Oryctolagus cuniculus: one gene and its partners. The protein of the gene in region 1 interacts with the protein of each later gene in a biochemical or structural test. Links are inferred from orthologs where the notes say so. Each region holds a gene or a part of one and is shown on either strand. Other genes may lie near its edges.

Region 1 (3,655 bases):
TCTCTTTCCATTATTTTTTACTTACAGGATTTGAGCAGCATTAACTGTATTTTCCTTTTTTTAAAGGTGGTAGTTGGGCAAGGAGTAGGTAGAGGGTGATTTTTCTTTTCTTTGAACTCAAATGGCCATGTGAGTTTTTTGTCACATAAATTTTATGGTTACTTATATTTAGCATTGAGTTTTTTGAGCATAGTTTCTTGCCATGGACATTTTTGTATGGTAATTGATGTTTTGAAATGCAAAATTATATATTTTTTAGACTATGAACTACATGTAAGGTAATATTCTGATAGAATTAGTGAGATAATTAAAATTTATATAAGTAGCATCATCTGATATAAAGTATAACTTGTCTGTATTCATACACCATAATGACTGGTGTAGAAGATTTGCTGGGTTAAAAATAGAGAACAAAACATTTAAAATCCCAGTCTGGTTTTGTTTGTAGTGACTTTTTGGTGAGTTTGAACATTTGTTAAAGTGAGCTTCCCAGTGCTGGTAGATTTTTTATGCTTTTTAATGAAAACTAGGACATATATTCTTCCCTGTTTTTTTCTGACACCAAAAATGAAGAGTTTTTCTACACTAACAACAAATTCTCTGATTCTAGCTGGATGTCTAAAATTCAGCTGAATTCTGACACTAACTCCCAGGGTTAGTGCAGACCCTACCAGGCTTAGTCCCACAAGGTTGGCCCCACTTCAAATGCCAGTTTCAAGTCCCAGGAGCCACCTATACTTCTGACTCACCGGTTATAAATTATCCCAATTGCCTCCTCACTTTCAATAATTAACTACAGCTAATCATAGAACTCAGAAAACATTTATATTTACTGGCTTATTATAAAAGACAAAATCAGGACCAGACAACTAGAAAAGATGCGTAGGGTAAGGTATAGGGGTGCCTGTTGTCCCAGCACTTTCATGTTTTTACCAAGCAAGAGGCTCTCTTTCAAGAATCTCCTGTTTTAGAATTTTTATCCCAATCTGCAGCTCCATTCTTCTCCCTGGAGGTTGGAGGTAGAAGCAAAGTTACTACCTTCTTAGCCCCAGTTAGTCTTTCAAGTAGCCAGCCCCCATTCTGAGACTTTCCTGGGTGCCCCCCTCTGAGTCACCTCATTTGTACAAACCCCAGTGTGGTTAGAGGGGCTTGTTATGAATTATAATAAAAGACACACTCCGGAAATTTTGAGGGTTTTAGGAACTCTGTGCCAGGAATTTGGGACAAAGACCAAATACATTTTTTATTATATGATAATTCTTATTATGCTTTAATGATAAGAAAAGTTTTCTTTTGATTGTGTTTTCCATGATGTAATCTGTTATGTGTAGGATAGAATTTAATGGAAGAATAGAAATTAAGTTCGATTTTTAGCAAAAGTCAATTTATTGCTTTTTCTTTCATAGGTCACTGATGAATTATTGGAAAAAATTGCATCAAGAAGTCAGAATATAATTGAAATCAACATTTCTGATTGTCGCAGTATGTCTGATACTGGAGTATGTGTTTTAGCATTTAAGTGTCCTGGACTTCTTAGGTATACAGCCTACAGGTGTAAACAGCTTTCTGACACGTCCATTATTGCGGTTGCCTCTCACTGTCCTTTACTCCAGAAAGTCCATGTAGGTAATCAGGACAAACTTACTGATGAAGGACTCAAACAGGTAAATTTTCACATCTGTGAACTACTTTTACTGAAATTAACTTAAGATGCTTTCTTATAGCAACATTTGAAAAGGTTCTTCGTTAAAAATAATGCTTGGAAACCAAAGTGAGTTATCTTTTTTATCTATCAGTGAATATGTATTTGCATTGGAGAACTACAGTGCCATGTGTGATCTGTAAATTAACTGTCAATTTTTGCATTAAACTTCTGAGACCAATGATTTTATTAATTTATGTTTCTGTTACTTAGTTTTATACCTAGTTTTGTTTTAGATAATAGTATGCAGTTTGGGTCAACATGAGTTGTTTTTTTTTTTTGACAGGCAGAGTGGAGAGTGAGAGAGACAGAGAGAAAGGTCTTCCTTTGCCGTTGGTTCACCCTCCAATGGCCGCCGTGGCCGGTGCGCTGCGGCCAGCGCATCGCACTGATCCGATGGCAGGAGCCAGATACTTATCCTGGTCTCCCATGGGGTGCAGGGCCCAAGCACTTGGGCCATCCTCCACTGCACTCCCTGGCCACAGCAGAGAGCTGGGCTGGAAGAGGGGCAACTGGGACAGAATCCGGCGCCCCGACCGGGACTAGAACCCGGTGTGCCGGCACCGCAAGGTGGAGGATTAAACATGAGGTTTTAAAAATTAACTTTTAATTTCCCTTTTATGTTACTAGATGACATACTTACATACTTTAAAACATCTAAATGAGACTTAAGCCTATGGTGGTTAAGATGCTTAGGTCGCCTGCCAAAAGCACCTGGGCTCAATACCTAGCTTTGTCTCCTGAAAACAGTTTCCTACTAAGGCAGACTCTGGAAGGCAACAAGTGATGGCTGACTTAGTCAGGTCCCTGCCACCAGACTGGGTGGAGCTCTTGGCTCCCGGGTTTTGATCTGGCTTAGCCCTACCCTAGCCTTTTGGGAAATGAGCCCATAGGTGGGCATGAGCTCTGTCTCTTTGTCTTCATCTGTCTCCCTCTGTCTCTTTGCCTCCTAAAACAAAGCAAAAGCAAATCCAAATGTATTAAGGCATCAATGCAAGTCCAAATTAAAGAGTATAAAATTAAGAAAAAGAGTGAAAATTAAATCTATTTGGCACAGTACTTCAATTATAAATACTTCCTTCAGAAATGGCACTTGAGACTTTACAGCTCAGAGTGGATTATTCACTCAAGGAAAGAAGGTCGTTTAACGTTACACATGAATTAACTGAAAGTCCAGTATTAGAAGAACTTTAGAGGATTGTATCCTAAATAGTGAGTACTGGATTTTGTCAATTCAGTGTATGTTTTAAGAATGTTAACAATTCATAAGGGGGAGCAAATTTCATCTGCAAAGGCAAATTGTGCAGTAACAGTGTTAGTTAATAGTTTTACTAATTGATTTCTGTAATATACAGCATTATTCACTAGCAAAACATTATATAAAGTTCTCAAATCTGTTAAATTAATCTATGAGAAAATTAACATTTTATGGCTGTAGCATACTTTTAATTATTTTGATAGAAATTTCTCAGCAGTTTATACTTAACAGTGAAACTTTAAAAAATGTTCAGTGGAATTTTTACATATTTTTTTCTGAGCAGATTTTTTTTTTTATTCTTTTTTGTTTTTAACGAATGAATGAATTTGAGAAGTAGAGAGACAGAGAAAGAGACAGGTAGAGAGCTCCCAACTGCCAGTTCAGTCCTCAGATAATCCAAACTGTTGCAAAGCTGATTGGCTGGAACTCAGTGTTTCTCACCTGTGGCAGGGACCCAACTACTTGAGCAATCACCTGCTGCCTCCCAGGGTATGCATTAGCTGGAAGCTGGAATTGGGAATGAAGCCAGGACTTCAACCTTGGCATAATGACACGGGATGTTGGCATCCCAACCCACCTCTAACAATGAAACATTTTTGAAAGATTTCTTTATTAAAAACTGCATTAAATCTGTTACATAGTTAAATCTGACAGACTGCTGAGACTGTTTCTTGTAATACTTATGAAACAGAATA
Region 2 (3,655 bases), on another chromosome or scaffold:
GAACCCGGGGACTGCAGGCAGCGTGTCCATCTGCCACCTCTGCCCTGCTCCAGAAGGCAGCTGCCTGTGGCCTGCCAGAGCTTTAGAGAAGGAAAGGTTCAGAGACAGCACTGCCCTGCAACTGGTGGAGGGGGAGCAGGAGCCACGCCCATGGCAGGCACCTGGTAGGATGCCTGCTGCTCCTGCTCCCTGAGCAGGCCATAGCAAAAGCAGGCATGCTCCTGGGTCTTTCAAAATCCATCCACATGCTGATGAGTGCTTCTTCTAGGACACTAAAGACGGTGAGGCTGTCCAGGTGGGCCACTGTGAGGGGCAGCTGCAGGCCTGCGTGTCTGAAGACTCCTTTACACATGAAGGATGCTGACCTAGCCAGCAGGAAGGGCAGCTCAGTATCTGACTGCTCAGGCTGGAGCATGTGTCTCAAAGGAGGAGCAGGGCCTCAGGCCCACCAGCGCTGCAGCTGGTCAGGGAGTGGTGTCACTTGCACCACTGTCTGGCAAGGGGCGGAGGTGGGGGTGAGAAAGCTCCCTGAAAGTCTGTGTGTGTGTGTGTGTGTGTGTGTGTGTGTGTAAGACTTACTTATTTGGAAAGCAGAGTGACACACATAGAGAGAGGGTGAGATGAGGAGGGTGAGACAGAGAGGGAAGAGAGAGAGAGAATAAGATCTTCTACCCACTGGTTCATTTCCTAACCAGCTGCAATGACCAGGGATGGTTTAGACCAGAGCCAGGAGCCTGGAACTCCATCTAGGTCTCCCACGTAAGTTGAAAGAGTCCAAACACTTAGGCCATCTTCTGCTATTTTCCCATGCTCATTAGCAGAGAGCTGGATCCAAAATGGAGCAACCAGGACTCAAATTGGTGGCCATATGGGATGCTGGTATTGCAAGCAGAAGCTTAACCTGCTGTGCCACAATGTGAGCCTTGTCTGTGTTCTTTACGAAGGGAAAATTATGGGGCCGGTGTTGTGGTTAAGCCTCTGCCTGCAGTGCTGTCACCCCGTGTAGGTGCTCGTTGGGGGTCCTGCCTGCTCCACTTCCAATCTAGTTCCCTACTAATGTGCCTGGAAAGCAACGAAAGATGGCCCAAGTGCTTGGACCCCTGTATCCATGTAGGAGACCCAGAAGAAGCTCCTGGCTTCTGGCTTTGGCCTGACCCATCCCTGGCTACTGTGGCCATTTAGGGAGTGAACCAGTGGATGGAAGACCTCTCTGTCTCTCCCTCTCTCTCTCTAACTCTGCCTTCCAAATATATAATGAAATAAATCTTAAAAAAAAAAAAAAAAGAAGGGGGAAGTAAAGGAATGAATATTTGGCAAGAAAGCCATATCTACTTATTTTCTTTCATTGCTAGAGATCTAATTTTTAAAGTTGACACATAATTTGCATACAATAAAATTCACCCTTTTAAAATGCAAAATGCATGTGTCTGAGATAGACTTGCCTGGGCTGAAATCTACGCTCCCCTTTGTGTACTTGCGGAATTCAGGGGACAAGTCGCAAATCATGCCATATTTCTACTCAATCACATATCAGGCTCCTCTCTTTTCCCAGGATGAAAGTCAGTGTTATCTGGAAGAGGACTAGGCACCATGTGCTAGAAGGTTTCCCTCACTCAAGACATACTTGCAGGTGTGGATCGATCTCAAATATGGTTTCTCCCCTCCGCATGTCAGTTATCAGCCAGGGGCCGCCAGCGCTGTGGACAAGGAAAGGGGATACGATGGTAACTAAGGGTCTGGGGCTGACAGGCTGGGGTGAAAGCCTGCCCTGTTTGCTGCCCCAGTCCCCGAACACAGGGGAACAGTCCAGGTTACAGACTGTCAGGAAGCCCTGATGGGAAAACCAGTGCTTGAAACAGCAATGCAAAGGGAGCCCCACATGTGGGGTGAAACAGGGACCCCCTCCCGTCGCCAGGCCCCACCCCCCCAAGGGGCACGTACTCACACAGGCACAGTCCGCAGCAGCTCCAGGATGCCCTGCCCGTTCCACTGCTGGGCTGAGTGCAGCTCTTCGGTGCAGACACCGACAATCTAGGGCGGGGGACAAGATGCCACTGTGCATTAATGATCATCCCTCCCTGAAGCGCAGCCACCAGGCTCTCCTGGGGGACCTCAAGGGGAGAGACCACAGGCAGGATCTGTGCTGGGAGCTGCTGTGTCTCAAATTAGCTGGCACCCAACCTTAGAGGGGGCTGCCGCCTGGCTAGGAGATGGCTGGGTCCACAGACAGCACTGAGGCCTGACGCCTGCCTGCCCTTGCGGTGAAGGGTGAGGTTTCTGGCAGACACAAGGTTTAACGCTAGGCTGAGAGGCGGTTCAGGGAGATGTTCCCACTGTCTGGCATTATAGGGACTGCACACGGTCTGAGACCCTTCAGGCTCGGGACCACGGCCCAGATGCTCCGGCAGTTCTGCAGAGAAGCTCTTCCCTCATCAGGCGCTAAGTCTGTAAACCTCCAGGGAACACCTGAACCTCTGTAGAGACATCCTTATGACCCAAAGCCAGCACTTGCTGCAGCGTGTGTGTGTGTGTGTGTGTGGTGTGTGTGGGTATGTGTGGTGTGTGTGGGTATGTGTGGTGTGTGTGTGTATGCGTGTGGTGTGCATGTGGTGTGTGTGTGTATGCGTGTGGTGTGCATGTGTGGTGTGTGTGTATGCGTGTGGTGTGCATGTGTGGTGTGTGTGTGGTGTTTGTGTGTGTAGGTGTGTGTGTAGGTATGAGTGTGTGGTGTATGTGGGATGTGGTATGTGTATTGTGTGTGGAGTGTGTGTGGTATGTGTGTATGGTGTGTGTGGTATGTGTGTGTGGTGTGGTATGTGCATGAGGTGTGTATGTCGTGTGGTATGTGCATGAGGTGTGTGGTATGTGTGTGTATGTGTGTGTGTGTGGTATGTGTGTGTGGTGTATATGTGTGGCATGGTATGTGTGTGGTGTGGTATGTGTGTGAGGTGTGTCTGTGTATGGGATGTGTGTAGTGTGGTATGTGTATGAGGTATGTGGTGTGTGTATGGGGTGTGTATGTGTGGTGTGGTGTGTGTGTGTGGTATGTGTGTGGTGTGTATGTGTGGTGTGGTATGTGGTGTGGTGTGTGTGTGTGTGTGGTATGGTATGTGTGTGGTATGTGTGTGTATGGTGTGTGTGTGTGTGGTGTGGTGTGTGTATGTGTGGTGTGTGTGTGTGGTATGTGTGTGTGGGGTGTGTGTGTGTGGGGTGTGTGTAGTGTGGTGTGGTGTGTGTGTGTATGTGTGTGGTGTGGTGTGTGTGTGTGTGGTATGTGTGTGTGTGGTATGTGTGTGTGTGGTATGTGTGTGTGGTGTGTGTGTAGTGTGGTATGTGCATGAGGTGAGTGGTATGTGTGTGTGGGGTGTGGTATGTGTGGTGTGGTATGTGTGTGGTGTGTGGATTCACAGCCCTTCTGGGAAAGTAGAGTCCAGCTGCACCTGCGGCTGTCTGCACCTTTCCTGGTTCACAAAATACCTTCCCTGTGACCTCACTCCACTAGTCATCCTCTCACACCCAGGCAGCCCCTTCCCTCCCCTCCTGCCACCTCAGAAGGTTAAGGCAGATCATCTGCTGACAAACCATCAGCGGGAACAGAAGATGGAGGGGATCAAAGAAAACCTCCTGCTCCTGTCTTGCCAGAACTTTTCCCACA
Region 3 (3,655 bases), on another chromosome or scaffold:
CCCCAACTGGCTTCAGTGGCCGGAGCTTCGCCGATCTGAGGCCAGGAGCCAGGAGCTTCTTCCGGGTCTCCATGTAGGTGCAGAGGCCCAAAGACTTGGGCCGTCTTCCACTGCTTTTCCAGGCCATAGCAGAGCGCTAGATCAGACATGGAGCAGCTGGGACTTGAACCAGTGCCCATATGGGATGTCAGTACTGCAGGCAGTGGCTCTACCCGCCACACCACAGCACTTACCCCACTATTGTGTCTTAAAAGTTCGTGAGCAGGGCCCAGTGCTGTGGCGTAGCAGGTAAAACTGCAGCCTGCAGTGCTGGTATCCCATATATATGGGCGCCGGTTCAAGTCCCAGCTGCTCCACTTCCGATCTGGCTCTCTGCTATGGCCTGGGGAAGCAGTGGAAGATGGCCCAAGTCCCAGACCCCTGCACCAGCATGGGAGACCCGGAGGAAGCTCCTGGCTCCTGGCTTCGGATCGGCGCAGCTCCAGCCGTTGCATCCGGTTGGGGAGTGAACCAGCAGATGGAAGTCCTCTCTCTCTCTCTGCCTCTCCTTCTCTCTGTGTGTAACTCTATCAAATAAGTAAATAAATAAATTTTTTTAAAAAGAAGTTCATGAGCACTAGTGGTATGTTCATGGAACTTTTGCATTCTATTCGACAGTAAACTCTGTTTTAGTGTGAAGTCAGTGTTTTCAGTTATTCACTAATAAATTTGATATTCCAGAAGGTGCCACCTACTGTGTATATCTGGGGTTCAGGTAACTGCCCACCCCATTCAAAAAGCTACAAATACATGTCCTGTCTGCTCTATACAAGTCCAGCGAAATAGAGTGGTTTGTTTAATGTGTGTTCAGTTCATACTATCATCAGCCTTTCAGCTCTCGCGTTGGAGATGCTGCGTTTGCCTTGTGAGAGTCTGAGCATCATTCTTACTCGGAGTTTGTAGCTTTCAGAGAAGGGGAAGCCTTACGTTGATATCCAGGGTCTGACGGCGTCCACCATGGAGATCCTGCTGGACTTCGTGTACACAGAGACGGTGCACGTGACGGTGGAGAACGTGCAGGAGTTGCTGCCCGCAGCCTGCCTGCTGCAGCTGAAAGGTACGCGCCCCAGGTGTCCCCGGAGGTGTTGGAATGAGCGCTGCAGACTCACGCGTGACATTGATGGAGACAGACTCGGGACGCTTGCCTTCACTGCCCTTGGCTTTTGTGTGGGCGGCAGAATACCAGGTGTCGATAGCCATGTAAAGGGAGCTCTCGCGATATGAGCGCTTGTTTCTTTGAGGGAGAACAGTTCCACCTGTTCTGCTCCTAAAGACCTGGAGGAGGGCACGGTGTATGCATTTCCTTACGTTTGTGCACCTGGTGCTCCTCCCCGTAAGGAAATTAACGAAACTGAGACTGTCTGTGGCCTGCATGGATACTGCTCCTCTTCTAGGGAGGCTGGAGTGGGGGGAGGGCTTTTCATGGGCAACCCTTTTGTTTCTTTAAGTTTTTGAACCATGTAAAATATCAATTAGAAAATAAAAGCTAAATCAGCACTCAAAAGTGAAAGTAGGTTTTCACAGGAATGGGCTGCCTTCCAGCTCCCAATCTGCCTTTTTAAATTTCCAGTCGCTCTCATTATATTCAGTCCTGATATACACGTAGTTTAACATTTCCAGTCTGAATGCAGGATTTTGAGACTGTGAAGCTTTTGCATTCGTGCACAATTACAAAATTCAGTTTATGCTCAGAACTTTGCCATTAGAGCAGTACAAGGTTGTTCTGAGGGTCCGTTAGTAAGTTTTGACGTTACGGAGAAAACGGTGCATTGTGCTGAATCAGCACTTGCGTTTAAAGCTCGGTTCGCAGCAGTGTTAGAAGAGTTTTGGTTTCGTTGCGCCAGTGTCCCTGCCATCCTGATTTTAAAGATGAGGTAGAGACAAGTGTGAGGTTCTTGCTTGAAGCCACAGAGCACATAAGACAGAGTGAAACTGGAATTTGTGTGCATAAATTTTTTTTTACCTGTTTCTTAGATGTTGAGCCAGGGTTCCTCTGATAGAAAAGATATTGAGATCCTAGAATATATACTGGCCAAGTGTACTGAAGTGTTCACCACCTGTTTGTCCTAGGTGTGAAGCAAGCCTGCTGTGAGTTCTTGGAAAGTCAGTTGGACCCTTCTAACTGCCTGGGTATCCGGGATTTTGCTGAAACGCACAATTGTGTTGACCTGATGCAAGCAGCTGAGGTCTTTAGCCAGAAGCACTTTCCTGAAGTGGTGCAGCATGAAGAGTTCATCCTTCTAAGTCAGGGAGAGGTGGAGAAGCTCATCAAGTGCGATGAAATCCAGGTACAGGTTTGGCGTGGTGTCTGCCGCCTTCGAAGCTGGGCCGCTAGGAAACTCGCACAGCGGGGTGAAGTTGCCGTGTGTCTGTAGCAGAGCCTCATAAGTAGGCGTCCGTACTGGCCAAGGGTTTGTTAACTCCCCACAGTTATATATATCAAGCTTCTTTGCATGTTTATAGAGAGCCCGTCACTTTCCTCAATTAAATGTATGATGCCAGTGGTGAGATTCTCTGTTAGGCAGAATGCAGAGTGAACAGGAACCGCAGGTGGAGTGGGTGTCTGTTGACCTCTTCTCTGTTACCCATTCACTCCTTTAGACGTTTATTGAGCATTCTGCTGTGTAGCAATCACTGTGCCAGGGATATGGAGTTCCTGGTTCCCGGGAATGCACAGTACAGTAATAGGAGCAGCTAGACGAACACAGGAGAGTAGTGAGTCCATACAGGGTAAGATCACGTGGAAGGAGAGTAAACCTTTGCTCGGGTGTGGAGCGGAGAGACAGAAGTTTCAAAGTGAGGATGTGCATAAGCTGGAACCAGGTCCTGACTGCGCTGTGGGGCTGGTGGGGACAGGAGGAGGGGACAGGTCAACTGGGTGTCAGAAGAATAGCGCTTGCCTGGCAGAGGGGTTAGGTGCTGCCTGTGCCGGGCAGGCCTTCAGTGTCTTAACCCAGCAGGAGGAGGCTGAGCAGTTCTCACTCCAAACCGCAATACCAGCAGCTAGGCAGAGTTTTTTATTGCATAGAGGTCTATAGTGAGGCGAAGAACTAGAGTTAGAAATCCACACATGGGCCGGCGCTGCGGCTCACTAGGCTAATCCTCCGCCTGCGGCGCCGGCACTCTGGGTTCTAGTCCCGGTTGGGGCGCCGGATTCTGTCCTGGTTGCTCCTCTTCCAGTCCAGCTCTCTGCTGTGACCCGGGAAGGCAGTGGAGGATGGCCCAAGTGCTTGGGCCCTGCACCCGCATGGGAGACCGGGAGGAAGCACCTGGCTCCTGGCTTCGGATCGGTGCAGTGCGCCGGCTGTAGCGGCCATTTGGGGGGTGAACCAATGGAAGGAAGACCTTTCTCTCTCTCTCTCTCTCGCTCTCTCACTGTCTAGCTCTGCCTGTCCAAAAAAAAAAAAGTCCACAGTCCACACATGGGGCTGTTAAATATCTTTGAACTCATAGGATTCATCTCCAGTGGCCCAATTCTTCAGTTAATAATTTCTAGAAAATATCTAGAATCAAGTCTACCTGTTGAGCTTGTTTTACCCAGGTAGAAATTTGATTCTTCAGAAGACTAAGAAATCATTTTTGCTCCTCTCTGGTAATAATAAGAGGGTGATTTTTG

What was found.
Region 2: of the proteins of FBXL17 (region 1) and SUFU, one has a biochemical effect on the other in vitro, tested with the Homo sapiens proteins (2 studies listed by BioGRID, with this or other methods). The link is inferred for Oryctolagus cuniculus from reciprocal best matches to the Homo sapiens genes FBXL17 and SUFU.
Region 3: the proteins of FBXL17 (region 1) and KLHL12 form a complex in vitro, tested with the Homo sapiens proteins (3 studies listed by BioGRID, with this or other methods). The link is inferred for Oryctolagus cuniculus from reciprocal best matches to the Homo sapiens genes FBXL17 and KLHL12.

Annotation. Positions count from the first base shown.
Region 1 is NC_091445.1:30,981,985-30,985,639, reverse strand, and holds part of FBXL17 (F-box/LRR-repeat protein 17), read left to right. Parts: intron 1-1,406; coding exon 1,407-1,664; intron 1,665-3,655. UniProt on the Homo sapiens protein: Substrate-recognition component of the SCF(FBXL17) E3 ubiquitin ligase complex, a key component of a quality control pathway required to ensure functional dimerization of BTB domain-containing proteins (dimerization quality control, DQC).
Region 2 is NC_091446.1:27,386,802-27,390,456, forward strand, and holds part of SUFU (suppressor of fused homolog), read right to left. Parts: intron 2,032-3,655; coding exon 1,946-2,031; intron 1,698-1,945; coding exon 1,625-1,697; intron 1-1,624. UniProt on the Homo sapiens protein: Negative regulator in the hedgehog/smoothened signaling pathway. Down-regulates GLI1-mediated transactivation of target genes. Down-regulates GLI2-mediated transactivation of target genes. Part of a corepressor complex that acts on DNA-bound GLI1.
Region 3 is NC_091444.1:18,659,031-18,662,685, reverse strand, and holds part of KLHL12 (kelch-like protein 12), read left to right. Parts: intron 1-942; coding exon 943-1,096; intron 1,097-2,109; coding exon 2,110-2,327; intron 2,328-3,655. UniProt on the Homo sapiens protein: Substrate-specific adapter of a BCR (BTB-CUL3-RBX1) E3 ubiquitin ligase complex that acts as a negative regulator of Wnt signaling pathway and ER-Golgi transport.